Linked DNA regions of Xenopus tropicalis. The protein of the gene in region 3 purifies or fractionates together with the protein of the main gene of each other region. This does not show direct contact. Links are inferred from orthologs where the notes say so. Each region holds a gene or a part of one and is shown on either strand. Other genes may lie near its edges.

Region 1 (7,975 bases), on a different chromosome or scaffold from region 3:
TGCATAATATTGCAGATGTTCAAGGACTTTTTTTCTTTGGCATTTAATAAAAACATAATTAAACTTTGCTGTAGAGCCATAAAATCATTGCTTTTGCTTCATAGCTTTTTTTTTTTTTTTTAACTTTTCGTTTGGTATTAATGTGTACTTTTAATTCTAGATACTATATACGATGAAGATGAGGTTCTTTTGGCACTCGCAGAACAACTGGGAAGCTTCACTAGCCTTGTTGGTGGTTCAGAATTTGTTCATTGTCTTCTAGTAAGTACTTTTTTTTCATGATTACGATCTGTTAAAACTAATTTGCTAAAGGGACATTCATGAGCTGTTGTGAAATTGTGAAGCTGTGAATCTTGAAAAGGAATAAATGCGTGCTTGTAGCATTTAGGCCCCTTTTACAGGTAGCAGAAACACACCACCTGCGTGGAGAGTAACTGTCTTGAATGCATACTGCCTGTTACTTTAAGTGATGGTGCATATATAGTGTGTACTGTAATAAGTAGATCGCAGTCAAGACAGCTGCTCCACTTATCAGGCAGAACCACTGGCATGATCAGCTCCAGTAAATAGTTTGTGTTCTTACCCCCGCTTCTTACAATTTCCTCCTTTATTCCATAAAATGGGCAGGCAGGTTAATTACCTCCAGATATGTAATATAGATTGACTCTAGTGTTTAAATGTAAGGGGGAATTAGATTGTAAATTCCACTTGGACAGTGACTTTTTGAATAATCTGTCTTTGTAAAGTTTGTTCAAGCAGCTATCATTCCCAAGAAATATATTGCATTACTTTTTTTGTGAGTTTCTGGATTGCTATTTAAATAGTCCGTTTACTTTTAGAGTCCAAAATTTTTTTGGCCTGCAAAATAAATGAGCATTTAAACTTGGCCTGATTCTTTTTTTGGTTGTTTGCATTCATTATACAAATACTGTATGTAGTTCACTAATGCTTGCTGTGAAGAGTGTCTCTAGTGTAACATTTATAGTGAAATGCAAGGTTAGCATTTTAAGGTATATTTTCCCTTCATTGTAGCAGGCTGCCTGTACATATATCATGGACACTGAAATGTACCTCCAAGGGTGAATTTCATGCCTTTTATATGTCTTTTTTTGCAATCCACCCAAGATCAATTTCTGCTGATTCCCAAATTGTTTCATGACATTTGCCTGAAACTCAGTGCCTGATCAAAACAACTTTCAACTGTTAAAATCGCATGACTTTAGACCATATGACAACAGACAGTTCGTTTTTCTTAGTATTTTTTCCTCCCATTGCCTCAATGTTCTATTGGGTTGAAATATCTGTGTCTTCATTTGCAGCCTGTGAATTGTGTTGTAAGTACTCTAGGGGCAGCGATTTCCCGAAATCCAGAAAACCCCAGGTCCTTAGCATTCTGGATAACAGGTCCCCTACCTTTAGTAGCTTCCATGAGCATTTTTAAGCAGATCTGTCATTGCTACATGTTCTTCAGGCACTGTTTCTCATAGATTACTATGGAAATTAGTGACTGGCTTTTTGAAACGTTTTTTGACGGTTGCTGCTTTCTACCTGATCCAAATACCTCGTATCCCGTTAGCCGTAAGTCTGTGGGAGAAACGTGTGGGTGGGAATGAGCCAACTAACAGCCTAGTAGAGCCAAATTTTAAAATGCTATTTGGATACCTAGTAGTGGCCTGCACTAGTCTTTTCAGTGGCCAGCACAACACCCGAGATTCTGTAGAAAAACTAATATATTATGGGGTTGTCCTTCCTAAATTAACTTTTAGTATGACACAGATAGTGATATTCTGAGACAATTTGCATTTTTTTTTTCATTTGTATTTTATTTAGCTATTTGTTCAGCAGCTCTTAGTTTGACATTTTAGTAACTGGTTGCTAGGTTCTTGTTTACCAGGGGGTGGTTTTAATGAGAGACTGCAATATGAATAGGAGAGGGAAAGGTTTTTGGCTGTCTGGATCAGTGACCGCCATTTGACAGCTGGAAAAATGTAGAATAGGAAGGCGATAATATTTACAGGTTTAAAATAATGAAGACCAGTTGGAGAGTTGCTAGGAGTAGGACATTATTAATGTAAGGGTGAACCACCCCTTTAACATCGTAAAACTGTTAATTTTCATATTAAGGTAAATTGTATAAGTGCCCAAAAGCAATTTGATGGGTATTTTCTGTGAGGTTTAGTAGCACTTTCATTGATGGCTTTTCCCTGGGGAAAAGAAATTTCTTAATAGCTGTGGCCCACATGATCTGATTTCCATTAACTGCTGTAGGGCACTTCCTGCACATTTGAGTGCAGATGAGAGGAGGAGCTTGCTTTGATAAAAACACCTGTATGCTACAGGCCTCCACTTTATCTAACTGTTTGCACAGATTCATACTATTTTATGTGTGTGTAAAACAAAAAGACAGATGGAACTTATACTGCTATACCCCAATGTGTTATCAATTTCATAAACGTACATAAAAGTTGCTCTGTAGACGAGCTTTGTCCTCTGTTGGCTTCAGCTACAAAGTCGCATCTGGCTCCCCACTTCCCTGCCAATCTACTTTGTGCGTCAGCAAGTAAAGCTGCCAGGATCTTAGATCTCTTGTGAGCCTATTCTGCCTTCTGGAACAATCGCCTTGCAAGTGCTGCTGCTGCTGAGACATTAGGTGCCATCTGGGGGGCCCTGCTTCCTTGGCGCCTTTCCCAATTGTGAGCTCAGTTTGGCAGCCATTAAATATTTTTCTCCACGTCACCAGCCCAGTTAAAGCTAATTTATGTGGGTTGATAGCAGATGTTGCTGCATAAACTTGAATAAAACAGGCAGGCCCAGGTGGCAATATACACACATTAAGCTTACATTATTGAATTTAAGGTAATCGGTGATAGGGTCTTGTGCACATTCTAGCAAAGGGGCTCAAAAGTCCTTTAATTCCAAAACTGAGAACTCATGCTATATTGAGTACTGCCCCCCCCCCCCCCCCCCCCACTCCAGTATTCGGCTTAATTCATATTCAAAATAATCCCACCAGTGAGAATTCTACTGAGAGAGAGAGAGAGAGAGAGAGAGAAGACAATTCACGAGTAAGAATGACCCAATGCTGGTAATGAGCAGTCATTTTGCTGTTATCTTATAAAAAAGCAAAACGTTACATCATAGTATATTAGACTGTAATGAGACATGGGGATATAGGACATACTTGTTCAGTGCTGTGAAAACTCTGCTTAAACCTTCCAGCTCCAGTTGCTGGAACAAAGAGCTTGGAGACAGATATGGTGCCCTTTGAGAATTTTTACTTTGGCGTAAACAGTATGGTAGTTCCCACAAATGTTTGTAACAAAATTGCAAAAATGTACTCTAGAAGAGGCAAACAATACAGTTTATCATGCTGTGAGTTAATGTACCCCATATAAACTTGACATATACAATCTAACTGCTAATATTCTAAACTGGAGAGATGCAGAACAAAAAAGTAAATTTAATATTTACAAATACACTTTAAACAGACCAGCTGCAAATTATTTACATTATATTGAAAGTTAATTCCTTTAAAGACTTCACTGCAAATCATTGTCAATTTGTACGTTTTAGTTAACATGCTCATAATGAATGATATACACACATTAAAATGTGCTGTAAATGAAGTATATGAATTGCTTTGGGGTATCCAGAAGGCATTCTTTAGCTGAAGCTCTTTTAAATTTGTTTACTTTATTTCTGCATAGCCCCCTTTGGAAAGCCTGGCAACTGTTGAAGAAACAGTAGTTCGTGACAAAGCAGTGGAATCCTTAAGGAAGATCTCCAATGAACATTCTCCTGTTGATCTTGAAGCGCACTTTGTGCCACTGGTTAAACGTCTGGCCAGTGGGGATTGGTTCACTTCTCGTACATCTGCTTGTGGCCTTTTCAGTGTGTGTTATCCCAGGGTGTCTAGTACAGTTAAAGCAGAAATAAGGCAGTAAGTATCCTGCTGAGTGGATGTTGGTTTTGCAATGCAGTTCTAAGCAGCAACCTGAAGTATATGTTGCTTTTTCTCTCTTCCTTACCCACCCCCCATTATATATATATATATATATATATATATTTTTCTGTTTAATTTATAGGCATTTTCGCAATCTGTGTTCAGATGACACTCCTATGGTGCGTCGTGCAGCTGCATCCAAACTAGGAGAGTTTGCCAAAGTCCTTGAGCTTGAGTATGTGAAGAATGATCTCATTCCACTGTTTACCAATCTGGCTTCAGATGAACAGGTGAGCAGGAAGTCCAAGAATGCTGATTTTAAATATTTTCTTTTAGAATAATTATCTTGTAATAGGTCCCCCATTGTAGACGATAGCTAGCTATTCATTGCATATAAACATTGTGTACATACATGGGGCAGTAGTAGTTCTGGTGACTATTTACTGTTTAATCAATAACAAAAAAAACCCTATGTTTTGCTTTGGGGGAAAATCTAGATGTTTTGTTTTGTATTGCACAGGACTCTGTGCGTCTCTTGGCAGTGGAAGCATGTGTAAGTATTGCTCAGTTACTGCCTGAAGAAGATCTGGAAGCACTTGTGATGCCAACTTTACGTCAAGCCACAGAGGACAAATCGTGGCGTGTCCGCTACATGGTTGCAGACAAGTTTTCTGAGGCAAGGCTATTTATCTCTCAATTCCTACATTTATTTTTAAGTTTGCCATTTACTACCCAGGAATGCTATTAATTGGTGGTATATTTATATATTTTTTATGTTTCATTTAGCTTCCATGGCTTGTTTCCCTACTTTTATTATAAATAGTTTTAAATATTTGAAATTGAGTCAGGATTAGCTACCCTTTTTATAAAACTTAGGTCACTGATTTGAGACTTCTTGGATTCTTATTAACCTTTGTCATCCCAATTTGGTCAGGCCCCTCTATAGCTCAGAACGATCCTGCCATAGTTCAGGTAACTAGAACTGCAATATGAAATTAAGGCAAGCCTGCTCCATAACTTTTGTCCAGAAAACTTTCATTCCTGTTTGCATTGCTGGAAGATTTAGTGATTAACTTAACAGATATCTTAGTGACTACATGGGTAACATAACTGTTCTCTTTTCAGCTCCAGAAAGCTGTTGGTCCAGAGATCACTAAAAATGACCTTGTCCCAGCTTTTCAGAACTTACTCAAAGATTGCGAAGCTGAAGTGCGGGCAGCTGCTGCTCATAAAGTTAAAGGTGAATGGATATGGATTAACTGCAGTATAATGTTTTACTTCTGCTTTTTATTTTACTTTAATTTGCAAATGTATTTTATGGCAAAATCTGGTACAAATGAAATTCTGTGAGCCAAGAGGGGAATGCATATGATTTAGCAGCATTGGACATTTGGCTTGCGTGTTTTAACTCACGAGTGGTGCATTGAAGTGTAATTAATCACTGATTTTTTGGCTTAGCCACTAAAGATAATAAGTTGATACATGGCTGTTTAAATATTATCAAAATAATCTACTCTTGTATATACCACTTCACCTAGTTTTGTTTAAATAGCCATAACAGTATTTTGTATTTCTGACAGAACTTCTCATAGAATGAGTGCTTTTAGGCAAAACTAGATAGATGAATGCCTATAAGTGGTGATTATTGGACCAAAGTGTTCAGTTGACCATGAATCAGCCATGAGTTAGGAATGTGTTTTTTTTCTTTTTATTAATAAGAATCTTTTATGTTTTAGAGTTCTGTGAAAATTTGCCAGCCGATGGAAGAGAGACCATTATAATGAATCATATCTTACCTTATGTTAAGGTACGTTTTGCCAAAATGAAGATGACTGAAGTTTGCTGCATTTTAAAGGGTTGTTTTCATTGTTATCTGATCTTTTTCGCTGCTTATCCAAATCATAGTGAGTTTAAATGCTCATTTGGATTGATGTCTGCAGTCTTGCGTTACACACGGCTTACAGGGTGTTCTTATAGTGGATCAGTTCTTTGTGTTGAAATCTGATGCCCTTAACATCCCCTCAGAGAATGGTGCCCATATTAATACTCAGATGTTTTTTGCAGACTTTTGCCTCTGGCATCTTGAGGAAGAGTTGTCAAGAGCCTGATATGCCATTACTAGATGTTTTGGCCTTATGTTTTTTAGGCTTTTCAGGTGGTGGCTGTTTTAAGATCTGTGATGTCAGATATTTGGTGTTTTTTCTTGCCTTACAACCTGGTAACGAAACCATCCCCCTGCATTGTCAAGGGGAGGTCACGTAAAAACACCAGGTTAAAAGCCTGTGTAAAATAATTCTCTTGCAATTGACATCTATAACCAATAACCATGTGGAAGGCAAAGGCAGTTTTAGGCATTTTTATGCTGTGTATTATGGCAGGAGGGTGGTTAAGCACCCTTCAAGAATTGCCCAGGATGCCATAGGCTCTGTTATGGCATGGCATGCAGGGCAGTACTACGATGCTATCATTTAACAAGGACTGCTAATGCATTTAAAGAGAAGGAATGGTATTTTGGCATTTTACTACCAATAGATTAGCCACATTAGGGAAAACTAGAATTGCTATATTTAATCTGCAGAAAGCTTTACTATACCTGAGTAAACCTATCTAGAAACTACCTCTGTTTGCTTAAGAAAGCAGGTGCCATTTTAGCTCAGTCTCTGTAGCTTCCAAGGGCAGCTCTAGTTGCTGGTAGCTCAGATCACACATTCTGATGGGTGGTGGAATGAATTCTTATGGGAAGGGGGAGCAGGAGAGAGCTGCGCAGACTCCAGCCCTGGAATGAAGGGTTTTTCTGAAAAAGGAAAACTGATCTGTGAGTGCTTATGGCTGTATTTACATAGACTTTTCTGATGAAGCTTACTTAGTTTTTCGTTTTCCTTTGAACAAGCCTTGGTTTATCATTTTACAAGAAAGAGTTGACTATGCCTAGCTCAGTGTCCTATTATGAGCTTCATTCTGGCACTATTTCATCTCAGTACCTCTCATCATCCATGTAAATTATATGTTTAATAACACCTTTCTTTGTTTTACCACAGTCTTTGTAATGTTTTGTAGGAATTGGTTTCTGACACAAACCAGCATGTGAAATCTGCCTTGGCCTCTGTAATCATGGGATTATCCACAATTTTAGGCAAAGATAATACAATTGAACACCTCCTGCCTCTCTTCCTGGCCCAATTAAAAGATGAGGTAATGTCGGGCAAACTGCTTCATGAATTTATTGAAAAATGATCCATATAAACTTCCCTTCCCTTCATTGTGTTTAGAGATCATGTGTGACAATAAGTTAGGATACTTTATTGTAACTAATAAACTGCATTTATTTTGGTGTATTAGCCAAGATGAAGTTTTAGGCAAAATTGTTTATCCATGTAATGTACATTTTTAAATTTTTTTTTTTTTTTTTTTTTTTTTTTTTTTCATTATCCTTTCTCTTTTTTAGTGCCCAGAAGTGCGCCTAAATATTATATCTAACTTGGACTGTGTGAATGAAGTGATTGGAATCCGCCAACTTTCTCAGTCCCTCCTTCCAGCTATAGTAGAGTTGGCTGAGGATACAAAGTGGAGAGTGCGGCTGGCAATCATTGAGTATATGCCATTACTTGCTGGTCAGCTGGTAAGTTTTCACTTCTTAGTTTCACAAACTGTATATATACAGATCATTTGTAACCTTAAGATAATCTATATAGGAAAGATATATTATTTACATCATCCGGCCAGCCCGGTTGGGGTTAACCTTTTTGTTCACTTGCACAGACCCTCTGCTTTCTGGAGAAACTATGTACCAACCACAGTGGAAATAAGAATTTAGGGGCTTTTGATTTGTTGAAGGTGACTGTACTGTAGCCCTCCCTCACTTGCATGGGGGCTATACCATCTATTTTGAAACCACTACCTTACCAAATGCAGTTGCTGATTAGTTGCTATTGGCAAAATCAATGGTGATCTTTATTATCAGTCTTGGTAAACGCGCCCCTTAAATCCCAGAATCAATCACGTCACAGTGAAACAAGGTGGGAGGTGTTGAAT
Region 2 (7,975 bases), on a different chromosome or scaffold from region 3:
CAGTAAAATCTTTCCCTTTCATCCCCACCCCCAACCAAAAAATGAATTCAAATTACCTTTAGGATCTGCATTAGGGAAAAGTCTGTTCCATGGCACCTTATTTTTGTGAGGAAGGGAAAGCAAGTAATTCCTAGCTTTTAAATTGATTATACAGTTTAGGTCCTCTTGAGATGGAGATCCAAGAATTCCTGAAAAATACGGAACAGTTAACTTAAACATACAATTATAAGACACAGCAACCATGAAAATCATGTAAATTATATTCTTAGAAATGGTTGTTAGTAATGTAATCAGTTATAACAAGTGCTTACTAATGCAATTTGTGTCACGTGACTGCATGAAACATGATAAAATATACCCCTTCTTTAATATGAGGGTCAAGTCAGAGGTCCATGACCTAAATGACCTTTATCCTTGTGCCTTTATATGGTCATAGAACCCCTCGTTGCTTCTAATATATTATATTTATGAAAGCTAGACTCCTTTTAAGCTGGGTGCCAAAAAGTGGTCTGCAATACAATACTGTCCAATAAAGGTGGACCGCAATACAATATCAGTGTTGCTATAAATTTTACCAAGCAGGAGTCAGTGCCTATAATGATAACCTACTGCTGTTCTTTATGGTCTCATTGACCCTCGCAAGCAATGGAATAAATGGAACCATGTTTATATAGATTACGGATTGGGTTGGAGAAAAAAAGACAAAGACCAAAGTCCATCAAGTTGAACCCCTCTGCACATATATACACACACTTTATACCGATCTATGCACGTATATACGCACGTAGCTATAAACTATATAGCTGGAGCAGGAACAGACTGCCTGTGACATTGCAAAGCCCTGCCCACCCTATGCATATTCACTGCACTTTAAGTAGCTGCTGCTCTGTTACTGAAGTCTATCAGGGCCCCAGCCACATACTGAAGAGTCTAAACCGGAAGCTTGCAAAAGGACTGGGTAGAGCACAGTTTTCAAGCAGTTATGGGCATATTTGAACCAAAAGGTATTAAAATAAACGCACTTACTTCTATTTGACATTATTTTACATGGTTGAGTGCATTGTAAAAATGTATAGTATTTGTCCCCTTTAACAGAATCTGCCATCATAAATTCACTCAGCAGGGTATTCCACAACCGCACTGCCCTCGCCATGAAAAATTTCCTACTCTGTTCCAAAGTTCTGTTCCTCTAATCTAAAGAGGTAACCTCTGGTGCATATGAAAATCAGAACAATTATGAAATGACCACAGCATCTATTCTCATAAACAGAGGATTCCGAGCTGCCACCAAAAAGTTCTGGCAGCTTCTGCTGAACTAGGGAGTCAAAAGCATGTTGACTGAGAACCTACTCACCTACAGTTTAACAGCTAAGAAAGACTGCCCACTTTTTCTGGATTCTGGAAAGTAAACTGCCAAAAGGGTACTATGTCAAAAGCAATGCTATGTCCCATGTGAAGATCAGTACTGTCTCACGGCCAGCTGGTTTTGGTGCCTTCCTAATGAATCAAGCAAGCTGCCGTTGTGGCACATCCAAACCTAATCCACACACACACCTAGCTGGGGAAGGAGGTTCGCTGTACCAATGGCTGTTGCACTGCTTGGAATTCTAGAATATAGAAGTAGCTTCATTTGCTGAGGAGACCACAATGAATAAGGCACAACTAGGGCTAAAAACTCTCAACTTACATCACCTTTTTATACATACTGGGAACCTCTATCGGGGAGATTCTTTCCCGATATGCCTAACCGAGGTGACCGATATTGGGCTGAACCTAGGGCCAAATGATCAGACCATAATGACAGGAATACAAGCATTGGAGTGGTCGAATCAACAAGTCAATGAAGTCCTCGATTCAAACCTCCCCAATTTTCAGCAAGATATTGGCAGGGTAGGGCCATGTCGAAGGGCCTCATACACTGGCAGATAATTTGCCAAAATCAACCTGAAGGGCCCGAATCGGAAGCTTAAACCTGCCCATGTAGCCCATCTTAAGTCCTACATTCGAGCAAGAAGTGTGCAAGCCAGGCAGATGGCTTGCTCAGCAGAAGCTTAGGAGAAGCACGATGTGCGCCTGAGACAGGCATAGGAGAACAAGGTTAACAGATCAATAGATATTTGTCAAAATTGTTGTTCATAATGAGCATGTTTTACAAAGCATTAAATAATAATGAAACATAATTACTGTATCTCTAAATACTGAGTGCAGTAGTTAATTGTTTGCCTTTCTGTTAATATTATAGGAAGCCAACACCCTGGTTTCTAAACTTTTAAAGCTTGTACCTACAGTTCAGAGAAATTTGATAGGCTCTTCTTTCCCATCCACACAAATACACTTAAAGTGGACCTGTCACCCAGACATAAAAAGCTGTATAATAAAAGTCCTTTTCAAATTAAACATGAAACCAAAATTCATTTTTATATTAACACATTCAAACCCATTATAAATGCATTTAAAAATCCCAGCTGTCAATCATATACTTCTTGTCCTGCCTCTATGCCTCAGACATAGAGGTGGGGCAGACAGTTACTTAAACTTTCCATTCAGCATTCACATTCCCATACCTTCTCACCATCTAATTGTGTAGCCAGTGCATGGGCCTGGGCATCAGGTCCCCCATTCTGGCACATATACAAGATCTTGGGATGATACAAAGCTTGCCTTAACAGTGCCCATAAAATGGCAGCTGCCTGCTGGCTGTGATTGTATATTTCCAAGACTGAAGGAAACAAGATTTTTTATCATTTATATAGTATGTAAAGTTAAGTTTGCTTAACAAACACAAAAGAAAAGAAATTGGAATTATTTCTTAGGGTGACAGGTCCCCTTTAAGACACTAAGATACAGAAATAATAAATACAAATTTATATACTTAACAATAGATGACTTTAGACCTTACCAAGTATGTGATTGAGTTGGTCAAGATAATGTTTTCCAGGAAATATGGGTCTATTAGAAAGCATCTCAGCAAGAATGCAGCCAACAGACCAGATGTCAATCGATTTGGTATAGCCCTGAAAACAAGCAACGTTTTTTTAGTCACTAAACCACCGTGCTAACAGTGGTCTATAACAGTCTATAGCAGATTATTCTTTTTCATAAAGGTTATGTCATTTTTTTTTCATACACACTGAGATATAACATGTACGGTACATACCATAAACAATTCCTTTCTTCGTGCCTGAACTGAGAAACAACAAACAATACAGAAGAATGGCACTCACATAATTTGCTGAATCAGTCTTCCACGGATTTATTTGCTCAACATTTTGATCCCCCCACAGGGACCTTTGTCGGGAGTCAGACAGTGCAACCACAGTAGTGATAGAATTTGATTAGAGGGGCATTTTTCTGCATTGTTTACACCCCCCCCCCCCCCCAATAATTTGTTATTTTGTGCAAAAAGATACCAGCACTCACAGGATTTTGAGTTTACTGGTAGATCAAGGTTTTACATTTGGCAGGCTTTATTGTTCATCAATCTGGGCTGCCACAAATGAATAGAATGTGATGTGCAATATATTCAAGTCCAGTGCTGTCAGACATTTCTTATGAAAAGTATCTTAGTAATAAGTTGCAGAGATGACATGCCAACATTTGAATCTAACTTGTATCACTTATATACAGGTGTTTCTGAAACAATCTCAAAGGTGACCATGTTGTGATGACTGTTACCTAAATGGGAATTTTGCAGATGACATCCCACTGGCGATTTACATTCTCGCTGGAGGGATGGCATTTCGGGGAGATTTGTCGCGCGCAGACTAATCTCCCCGTCTGTCACACACCTTATGTTAATTTTAGAAGCAAAACAACCCCTTTATGTGCTCCATAATCTATAAAAATCTCTAATGTTTAATATAGAATTATAGAAATTTAAGTCTTAAATTAACTGTGAGGCCAAAGCATATTTACATTTTGAATTACAAGAAAATTACATGCACCTATCAGTCTATCTATACATGCAGTCATTTTTTTACCTTGGAATTCAGCATGATCTCAGGAGCTCTGTACCAGCGAGTGGCTACATATTCTGTGAGAAATCCAGTGTGATCATGGTCTGGGTCTGCAACACGAGCCAATCCAAAATCACAAATCTGGAAGATACAAAGTTCCAACTTATCACATTAATAGCGTACACATGAGTGTACCTATGAGTTTGTAGAAACATTTCGTATACTATAGAATAGTTAAAAAGCCTATATTTGCGCTTTTTTTTTTGTGATTCTGTAAGGGACCACCTGCCAGTCCCATGTAATGCAAAACTGGTTTACATTGGCTCCAGTACCAGTTCAGAAACAGGGCTTAGTGCCTAGCAATGGACACTGAACACACTAGTACAAGCCAAAGCCTCGGGGGGGGGGGAAGTACTATTGCCTTAGTTGCACAACTACCCAACAACTAGCAAAAACTTTAGCCCATGTTTAGAAGAGTCCTGATGCCTGCAGGGTTTAAGGAATAGGATGGAATCACTCATACGAGTAAGCTTGTAGTTGCACTCAAAAGGGTATTGAGGTTTAAGGGTAAGGACTGTGTTTTTTTTTTTTTTTTGTTTGTTTTTTTTGCATTACAGCTCTAAGTTCTCTTTAAAGGACATTAACTATTATAATTACCAATCTGCACTGACCTTAAGATCACAGGTAGTGTTAAGCAGCAAATTTGAAGGCTTAAGATCACGATGTAGAACATTGGCTGAATGGATGTACTTTAATCCTCTCAGGATCTGGTACAAGAAATAGCAGATGTGGTCATTGCTAAGATGCTGAGTCTTCAGGAGTTTATAGAGATCTGTCTCCATGAGATCCTGCACAATATACCTGGAATGTTTAATGTAAGGCAACAATGATGGAGTGTGAAAAATTAAAGAAAGAAAAACTGAAAGAAACAAATCACATTTTTCTCTGAAATCTACTTTTGAAAAGAAAAACAGATAAACAATTTTAACAGCAAGGATACACATCTTTCATTTGCTCAATGGTTGGAGCTCGAATTATGTCATTAATTCCAATGATGTTTTCATGCTTAAAACGCAGCAAGATTTTGATCTCCCTCAGTGTTCTCTGGCAGTATGTCTGATGCTCAAATGGGCTGATTTTCTTGATAGCAACTCGTACTTTGTTTACATTGTCATAGGCAGAACTGAAATACAAAGCAAGCACAATTAATTATTGGCCACTGTTTCTACCATACATTATAAGTCAAGCTATACAGCATTAGATATCCCACAAACTCTGTAATAGTTATTTTTTTTTTTTTATTTCCAATGAATTTTGGCATTTTTATTTGGAAAACGTCTTTGCTAAAGGCAATCTATTTGTGCAACAGTTCGTTATAAAAAGCACCTACAGTAAGTACTAAAATGAAACATAAGAGATGCTCCATAATATGTGTATGAAAAACATGGAAACTTTATATTTGGCTAAAATAAAATATTTACCAAATCAAAAATGTAATTATGCAACGAAATGTTGTGCGGTAAACAATCCTATCGCTCATGAATGCCCTGAAACTCATAACGGCAGTGGAAAAATACATTTCTATTGCTGCTTTAGATCTGCGATTTTGAAGCTGCTACAAATGATACCCTTTAAACCCGTTATGGGGTTACACAGCAAATACTTAGCAGCCGATTTACAAAAAGATGATCTGGGGAATCCTGAAGAATGCTTAGTAGATCAAATATTATAACAAATTTTGATCCCTGGATGATAATGATAACAGTTGCCACAGGCAAAAGCATAAGAATAGAATGTGTCTGCATGAGGGGCAGTGCACCATGGCTGCCTCTTTCCTCTCTGACAGCAACATAGTGCCTAAATGTTAACGGGATTCTGTCATGATTTTTATGGTGTATTTATTTTTAAATTACATTCACTGCCATCTTAGTGCATTGTGCCCGAGTCTAAGCTTTCAGAAGGAGCCAGCACTACACATTAGAACTGCTTTCAGATAACCTATTGTTTCTATTACTCCCATGTAACTGGAGGAGTCTCTTTTATTTACTACAGGCATGGGACCTGTTAGGCAGAACTTGGGACCTGGGGTTTTACAAATTATGAATCTTTCTGTAATTTGGATCTCCATACCTTAAGTCTACTAAAGAAATTTTTTTAAAAAAAAGTGTGCATTAAACAGCCAGAGGCATGTTGTGAACAGTAGTCTGAAAAGTTTTTTCAAAGCAGTGAATCTGCATGACAGTGCGCTCCTCTTCATTTACAGGTATGGGACCCATTATCCACAATGCTTGGGACTTGGTGTTTTCCGGATAAGGGGTCTTTGATTAATTCTGATCTCCTACCTTAAGTCTGCTAATAAATTTAAACAGTAATTAAACCCAATTATTGGCTCCAATAAGGACTAATTATATCTTAGTTGAGAACAAGAACAAGGTACTGTTATTACAGAGAAAAAGGAAATCATTTTTAAAAATGTGAATTATTTGATTAAAATGGAGTCTATGGCCTTTCCATAATTCAGAACTTTCTGGATAACGTGTTTCCGGGTTAATGAATCCCATACCTGTACTGAGTGCTATTCTGATATCTACCACTATTAAAATATAAAATAAAGAACATGGCTAGCCTCATGTGAAATTTCAAAATTAAATATTAAAAAAAGGGTTTGTGTTTTTGTAAAATGGATTTCAATGCAGGATTCTGCAGGAGAAGCTCTATTTTTGCATTTTGGGAAAAAAACAAAACATGTTTTCCCATGACATGGGTATAGCACGTATCATCTGGAATGCTTGGACCTTGGGTTTCCCCAGACATGGGATATCTTTCTAAGAATATATATATTCTGGAAAATAGCTTGTGTGTATATCAGATTTTTCTAGATAACAGGTTTCTGCATTAAATCTCATAACTGTATAGGCTATATATTCTGCAGAAAGAATTCTATCTATCTTAACCTTTACTGGTATTTTATGCAAGAGTTCACACACATGTCCCTATACAAAAGCAAAAGTCAAATATTATCAAGTCAGATGGAACAGTGTCCTCAGTAGCCAAATTACCACACAATTTGATAAAATGCTCAGGGATGTCAGCATTATGGGGACAGTGATACAGTAACCACAATATCATAAAAGATCTATGGCAATGTACCAGTCTTTTATTTTAAGCCATTTGTATCAAAGTTTTAGTAATTCAAATGACCAACTTGCATTTGTAAGGCAAATATATTTTACACATTTTATTGCATTTCACAGGCAAATAGCAACAGCAAATTAATTTATATAACCATCAGGTAACCAGACATTGTTAATGTTAATTCCTACAAGGGGCCCTATTTCACTGAAATCTAACATTTATGTAAGCATATATCTAAACATTGGCAGTTAAAAAAAACACTTGCTAAATGCTATACCTCTGTTTCTTACTAAACACATTTTATTGATTTTGCCAGTAAATCAAATATACTTAGAGTTAAGAAGGGAAAAAACTCCTATTTCCATAAATATCACTAGTTTTTTTTAAATTCTATTCTCCCACTTTCTTGACGTGATGGGAGTTAAAATTGCCATAGCAACAAAGCTGTACTTCTTTGTATAAATCAACAGTAAATTGTGCCTTTTCTAATAAAGAGCTTTAGAAAATATTCATAAACAGTTCATTAGAAACCCTCAAAGGTATAGCTGCTTGGTAGCTTACATATTAAAAACAGGCAAATTATTTGTGCTTATACAAGAGAATAAGCACAAATACCATTTTTATTTAAAATGTGGATCAAAAACTGGTTTCACTTAAAATCAATTGAATTTACCCCAAAACACCCTTTTTCCTAGAATACCATTTCTTTTTCAAAAATGACTATTTATGGCAGTACAGCTGACCCAGCACAACCCAAGATTCACTGCACCATACTAAAATATATCTGAGGTGTCCCTTGTCAGACTTGCAGATGTGCAGTAGTATAAAGTTTCACACTCAGCTCAGGGGGAAAAAAAGTTTCCTTTAGAAGCCAATACTGTCCC
Region 3 (6,981 bases):
TAAACCCAGTGAGAATGAGGGATGAATGGATATTGGGGAGTTGTATCAGGAGTCAGAACCAGCAGTGCAGGGAAGGGAAAGGGACAGACACAGTGACAGTTACACATAACTATAAACCCAGTGAGAATGAGGAATGAATGGGTATTGGGGAGTTGTATCAGGAGTCAGAACCAGCAGTGCAGGGAAGGGAAAGGGACAGACACAGTGACAGTTACACATAACTATAAACCCAGTGAGAATGAGGAATGAATGGGTATTGGGGAGTTGTATCAGGAGTCAGAACCAGCAGTGCAGAGAAGGGAATGAGGAATGAATGGATATTGGGGAGTTGCTTAGAATTATTATTTGGGGAAATATTCCCTGTAAGGGGCTAATTGTTATTTCTGCCTTTTCCAGACTGTAATACCCACTATTCTCCTGTAGGAGGCGACAGTATATAATGAATGGGGGGGGGGGGGTGCTTAATCTGTTTTTCTGCAAGAGAAAGGTTCCGACTCTGTACAAACGGACTGATATTCAGCCAATACAAATAGAATAAAATGTCACAGTGCAATATTTGGGACATTAAGCAGCGGGTCAGCGCCACATTGTCCCCTCTGTCATAAAATAAATAAAGACGGTATTTCCGGTATCGTTAAATACAAATAATAACCAGTCACCGGATACACAGGGAGGGGGGACATGTGGGACAATATCTCACAATTATACACAACACGACATGTAACGGAACCGAACACAGTAGATTGAGCCCTTTGTACCACGGAGCCGACCCACGGGAACTGCCAATGAGCAGAGATAGGAACTGGCAAAAAGGGGGGAAATGGGGAATTCTGCGTTGGGTTTGCCCCCTATTTGCGCAGGTCGGACAGTGCGCCCCTATTTGCGCAGGTCGGACAGTGCGCCCCTATTTGCCCCCTATTTGCGCAGGTCGGACAGTGCGCCCCTATTTGCCCCCTATTTGCGCAGGTCGGACAGTGCGCCCCTATTTGCGCAGGTCGGACAGTGCGCCCCTATTTGCCCCCTATTTGCGCAGGTCGGACAGTGCGCCCCTATTTGCCCCCTATTTGCGCAGGTCGGACAGTGCGCCCCTATTTGCCCCCTATTTGCGCAGGTCGGACAGTGCGCCCCTATTTGCCCCCTATTTGCGCAGGTCGGACAGTGCGCCCCTATTTGCCCCCTATTTGCGCAGGTCGGACAGTGCGCCCCTATTTGCCCCCTATTTGCGCAGGTCGGACAGTGCGCCCCTATTTGCCCCCTATTTGCGCAGGTCGGACAGTGCGCCCCTGAAGATGGGAATGAGGGTGCCATATACAACTGGGGCGTCCTCGGAATCCGCCGTCACCTGGGGGGAAATAAGCAGAATTATCATCAATATACTTTGGAAAGGAAGGCAGTCCCTGTCCCGCAGAGCTTACAGTCTAAGGGCTGATAGAGGGGCAATTACCTTGGTGAAAGCTCGGGCGGCCCTGGCCAGTAGGTCCCCCAGTAACTGGTTAGGGATTGGCTGCAGGCGACTCACACAGTGCAGGACACACAGGAGGGTTTGGTGTTGGCTCTGGGGAAGCAATAAACAAAGGGCAAGTCAGTGGGGGATGATGGAAAAATCTGCCCCCTCCTTCTACTTTACTGCACCTAAACCCCACCTACTTTCTACTAAGCTCCACCCTTTTCAGCATAAGGAGCCAGAACCCCATTCTACTTTACTGCACCTAAACCCCACCTACTTTCTACTAAGCTCCACCCTTTTCAGCATAAGGAGCCAGAACCCCATTCTACTTTACTGCACCTAAACCCCACCTACTTTCTACTAAGCTCCACCCTTTTCTGAGCTTAAGCTTCAGGGGTGTCTGGGCCAAACAGGAACAGATGGAAAGTATTGGGTATAAAGCTTCTCACAGGGTAAAGGAGTTTGGTGCCCTGGGGCATTTGGGGTTGTTCAGCCCTTACTACCCCCTCATGTCCTGCCCTTATACTATTCTGGGGGGTCATTCTCAAGACTGTGAGAAACCCAAATGCTTATGACCTTGGGCTCCAGGACAATGTGGCACAACAACAGCCCTCAGGGCCTTCAGAACCCCAGGTAACTGCCCCTTGTGGGGCTTATTATATAAACAACCCCCCACAAGTAGGGCTGCCACCTTGTTGGTATGAAATAACTTGCCCTCTGCCCTGTCCCACCCCCTCGCTCCCTTTCTAACCCACCTTGCTCTCTATTTCCTGCCCCCCTTACATCACAACCGCACCCCAACATGACAGGCAGCCCCCCCACCCTGGGCAGTAAAGGTGCCAACCCTACCCACAAGGTGCCACAACTGCCCCATAAAATGCAGCAGAGGGTAAAACCCAGAATATTTGGGGAAGTGGTGGCAATACCTTCTCCAGCAGGCAGAGGGCAGTGTTTGGGTCACAGCCCGTTAGCAGGTCAATATCCTCCTTTGTGATGACCGGTTCTTTGAGCTGATCCAGCCAGGCCCACATCAGGCCGCACAGCACCAAGGGGTCTCTCTCCGAGCAGATTCTATCCCAGGCCGATTCCCGGGAGTTTAACTCTTTCTAATAAACATAAAGATGCACAAATGTAACGGAACCCACGGGCGGGTCGGTACCGGAACCATTTAGTGCAACTGCCCCCCACCCAAATGTCCCCTAAGCCACTATTGGTCTCCATTACAATAAATAGGGGATCTCCCTTCCTTATATCCTGCCAAATCTGCCCCAACCACCCCCTCTGTCCCAGTCATGGGGGCACAAAAATATAGAGGAGCAGGGGGAGGAGCCAGAGGGCACAGAGATACAGAGGAGCAGGGGGAGGAGCCAGAGGGCACAGAGATACAGAGGAGCAGGGGGAGGAGCCAGAGGGCACAGAGATACAGAGGAGCAGGGGGTGGAGCCACATAGAGCACAGAGATACAGAGTAGTAGAGGGAGGAGACAGAGAAGCACAGAGATACAGAGGAGCAGGGGGAGGAGCCAGAGGGCACAGAGATACAGAGGAGCAGGGGGAGAAGCCAGAGAGGCACAGAGATACAGAGGAGCAGGGGGTGGAGCCACATAGAGCACAGAGATACAGAGGAGCAGGGGGAGAAGCCAGAGAGGCACAGAAATACAGAGGAGCAGGGGGTGGAGCCACATAGAGCACAGAGATACAGAGGAGCAGGGGGAGAAGCCAGAGAGGCACAGAGATACAGAGGAGCAGGGGGAGGAGCCACATAGAGCACAGAGATACAGAGGAGCAGGGGGAGAAGCCAGAGAGGCACAGAGATACAGAGGAGCAGGGGAGGAGCCAGAGGGCACAGAGATACAGAGGAGCAGGGGGAGGAGCCAGAGAGGCACAGAGATACAGAGGAGCAGGGGGAGGAGCCAGAGGGCACAGAGATACAGAGGAGCAGGGGGAGGAGCCAGAGGGCACAGAGATACAGAGGAGCAGGGGGTGGAGCCACATAGAGCACAGAGATACAGAGTAGTAGAGGGAGGAGACAGAGAAGCACAGAGATACAGAGGAGCAGGGGGAGGAGCCAGAGGGCACAGAGATACAGAGGAGCAGGGGGAGAAGCCAGAGAGGCACAGAGATACAGAGGAGCAGGGGGTGGAGCCACATAGAGCACAGAGATACAGAGGAGCAGGGGGAGAAGCCAGAGAGCCACAGAGATACAGAGGAGCAGGGGGAGGAGCTAGAGAGGCACAGAGATAAAGAGGAGCAGGGGGAGGAGCTAGAGAGGCACAGAGATACAGAGGAGCAGGGGGAGGAGCCAGAGGGCACAGAGATACAGAGGAGCAGGGGAGGAGCTAGAGAGGCACAGAGATACAGAGGAGCAGGGGGAGGAGCCAGAGGGCACAGAGATACAGAGGAGCAGGGGGAGGAGCTAGAGAGGCACAGAGATACAGAGGAGCAGGGGGAGGAGCCAGAGGGCACAGAGATACAGAGGAGCAGGGGGAGGAGCCAGAGGGCACAGAGATACAGAGGAGCAGGGGGAGGAGCCAGAGGGCACAGAGATACAGAGGAGCAGGGGGAGGAGCTAGAGAGGCACAGAGATACAGAGGAGCAGGGGGAGGAGCCACAAAGAGCACAGAGATACAGAGGAGCAGGGGGAGGAGCCAGAGGGCACAGAGATACAGAGGAGCAGGGGGAGGAGCTAGAGAGGCACAGAGATACAGAGGAGCAGGGGGAGGAGCCAGAGGGCACAGAGATACAGAGGAGCAGGGGGAGGAGCCAGAGGGCACAGAGATACAGAGGAGCAGGGGGAGGAGCTAGAGAGGCACAAAGATACAGAGGAGCAGGGGGAGGAGACATAGAAGTAAAGTGATAAGGTTTTTGGGAAGCTGTTGGCCCCACCTCTTATGAGGGGCACTATTAAAATCAGGGTGTAGCCCTATAGCTGTTTGGCACAACGTGGGTGGAGCCAATCTCCTGGCATTGGTATGTTGGTGTCCCTGAATGAATCAGATGGAAACGTTACCTGCCAAACTGCCACTTTCTTCGCTATCTCATCCTCACTTTCCGGCGGTTGTTGCGCAAGGGCTTTTGCCGCCTGCAGCCGCCGGGATTCGAGGTTCGTCTCCGACTGCAGCACAATATGGGGGACGCACGGAGACGCCTCTCTCTCCTCTTGGGTTCCATTCCCCAGATAAAACGTGGCTTTGGGGGCAGCGTCGTGGGCAGTTTCGGGGCCCGTGGCACAGGGGCAGTCATTGCCAGCGGGCAGGGTGGGCTCTGCGTTTGCCAGTAGCGGTGTCTGGTTGCTGTTTAACAAGCAGGAATACCCCAATGAGAAGGTGCGACTCCTCTGCATCTCCCTGGGGGGCTTCCTTTTGAGGAAAAGTGGGGACCCTTCCCTTTGGGGTTCAGGGGTGCCCAGTTTGCTTTGAGTCCAAAAAGAAAACGTATTGTGCGCCGGGGGCTGTTTTTTAGGCAAAGGCGAAGGGTGATCCGAGTCGTCACCGCCGGGCACAAAGCAATGCTTTACCAAAACGTGCGCAACAAAGGGCATCTGGGCCGGCTCGGTCCACGGGGTCTCCCCCTGCTCCAGGAGCAGCTCCGCCTTCTTTAGGTCCGAGTCGCTGTAGCTCAGCCGCTTCTTCAGGTGGGACAGGGGCTGGAGGAACTCGACATTCCGACGCTTCCACAGCGGATCGAATTCCTGCTCACTGGATAACACTGAGTCGTGAAGGGTTAAACCGGCCGTGGGGCTTACGGAAAGGGTTAATGGATCAGCCCCCGACATGGCGCCCCCTAACACTGTATCCAGCGGCACCGCCGGGAGCTGGGACACTGCTTTCTCTATCTCTGCCGTCAGGTCCGGTCCGTCCAAAATCTCCTCCTCCAACACTTGCCTGTTCTCTGCCAGGTCCAGCAGCAACTTACAGACCAGATGGACCATTTTTGGCACGTATTTCAGATGGCGGGCTTCGTAGCCATGGAGCAAGTGCTGCTGTCGGATTAAGTACTGGTTCAGAGTGACGGCGTGAGCCTTGGGGTCCGAGCAGGCGAATACGTTGTGTAATGGAGCCAGGAACTGGGAGAATTCTCTGATGCACAGCAACTGCACCCGGGTCTGGATGGCATTGTGCCGCCTGGCACGCACCAACAGGATGGCCTGGTCTGCCGTCATACGGGTGGCAAATATCAAATAGCAAGCGATCAGCACACCTGAAAGGGATGGGGGGGTCTTATTAATGGTGATGCACCACTATGGCACCTCCTACCCATATGTATAAATACAAATATACAGAGAAGGAATGTTCTGGGCACACAATAAGCTGTACCCCCATACTGTACTGTCTAAGGGAAACACTATGGCACCTCCTACCCATATGTATAAATACAAATATACAGAGAAGGAATGTTCTGGGCACACAATAAGCTGTACCCCCATACTGTACTGTCTAAGGGAAACACTATGGCACCTCCTACCCATATGTATAAATACAAATATACAGAGAGGGAATGTTCTGGGCACACAATAATCCTAATTTACTTTCCAAGTACACAGTTGTCCTTTATCTGCGTTTCTATAGTTTCCATGGTACTGGGGTTCTGCATTAAGCGCATGGATGCAGGGGCAGCAGTGCATTGTGGGGCACAGAATGGACGCCAGGATGTATGTGAGTTGGGGACAAGCTGCAGGACACAGGGCTGCAATAATTACTCAGACATTTGTTAATTCGTGAGTCACAACTTACTCATCTCCCATGAATCCTGCAAATTCCATAGGAGCTGGAAGTAAGGGGACTAAACACCTACGCACCCCCGGTTCCTACTACTGCGGCTTTATATTCAGTAACATTATACTACTGATAACAGGTCAGCCTCTGGGAGCCAAACAGCCATTGGTCCCTGGGAGTCGGTGGAACAGCACCGGGGATCCTTAGTTGGGATCAAGTACAGGTACTGTTTTATTATTACAGAGAAAAGGGAATCATTTAACCATGAAATAAACCCAATAGGGCTGTTCTGCCCCCAATAAGGGGTAATTATATCTTAGTTGGGATCAAGTACAGGTACTGTTTTATTATTACAGAGAAAAGGGAATCATTTAACCATTAAATAAACCCAATAGGGCTGTTCTGCCCCAATAAGGGGTAATTATATCTTAGTTGGGATCAAGTACAGGTACTGTTTTATTATTACAGAGAAAAGGGAATCATTTAACCATGAAATAAACCCAATAGGGCTGTTCTGCCCCAATAAGGGGTAATTATATCTTAGTTGGGATCAAGTACAGGTACTGTTTTATTATTACAGAGAAAAGGGAATCATTTAACCATGAAATAAACCCAATAGGGCTGTTCTGCCCCAATAAGGGGTAATTATATCTTAGTTGGGATCAAGTACAGGTACTGTTTTATTATTACAGAGAAAAGGGAATCATTTAACCATTAAATAAACCCAATAGGGCTGTTCTGCCCCCAATAAGGGGTAATTATATCTTAGTTGGGATCAAGTACAGGTACTGTTTTATTATTACAGAGAAAAAGGAAATTA

What was found. The genes of interacting proteins can lie anywhere in the genome.
Region 1: the proteins of ptpdc1 (region 3) and ppp2r1b purify together in Homo sapiens (affinity purification with mass spectrometry; 3 studies listed by BioGRID and IntAct, counting the BioPlex papers as one, with this or other methods). This does not show direct contact. The link is inferred for Xenopus tropicalis from reciprocal best matches to the Homo sapiens genes PTPDC1 and PPP2R1B.
Region 2: the proteins of ptpdc1 (region 3) and mapk1 purify together in Homo sapiens (affinity purification with mass spectrometry; 3 studies listed by BioGRID and IntAct, with this or other methods). This does not show direct contact. The link is inferred for Xenopus tropicalis from reciprocal best matches to the Homo sapiens genes PTPDC1 and MAPK1.

The regions. Positions count from the first base shown.
Region 1 is NC_030683.2:84,346,052-84,354,026, reverse strand, and holds part of ppp2r1b (serine/threonine-protein phosphatase 2A 65 kDa regulatory subunit A beta isoform), read left to right. Parts: intron 1-160; coding exon 161-261; intron 262-3,707; coding exon 3,708-3,940; intron 3,941-4,085; coding exon 4,086-4,233; intron 4,234-4,463; coding exon 4,464-4,619; intron 4,620-5,068; coding exon 5,069-5,183; intron 5,184-5,679; coding exon 5,680-5,750; intron 5,751-7,000; coding exon 7,001-7,135; intron 7,136-7,388; coding exon 7,389-7,562; intron 7,563-7,975. UniProt on the Homo sapiens protein: The PR65 subunit of protein phosphatase 2A serves as a scaffolding molecule to coordinate the assembly of the catalytic subunit and a variable regulatory B subunit.
Region 2 is NC_030677.2:154,030,372-154,038,346, reverse strand, and holds part of mapk1 (mitogen-activated protein kinase 1), read right to left. Parts: intron 5,140-7,975; coding exon 4,957-5,139; intron 4,818-4,956; coding exon 4,628-4,817; intron 4,098-4,627; coding exon 3,981-4,097; intron 3,015-3,980; coding exon 2,900-3,014; intron 189-2,899; coding exon 57-188; intron 1-56. UniProt on the Homo sapiens protein: Serine/threonine kinase which acts as an essential component of the MAP kinase signal transduction pathway. MAPK1/ERK2 and MAPK3/ERK1 are the 2 MAPKs which play an important role in the MAPK/ERK cascade.
Region 3 is NC_030680.2:152,393,104-152,400,084, reverse strand, and holds the end of ptpdc1 (protein tyrosine phosphatase domain-containing protein 1), read right to left. Parts: intron 5,647-6,981; coding exon 4,457-5,646; intron 2,554-4,456; coding exon 2,374-2,553; intron 1,556-2,373; coding exon 1,445-1,555; intron 1,343-1,444; coding exon 1,256-1,342; 3' UTR 485-1,255; downstream 1-484. UniProt on the Homo sapiens protein: May play roles in cilia formation and/or maintenance.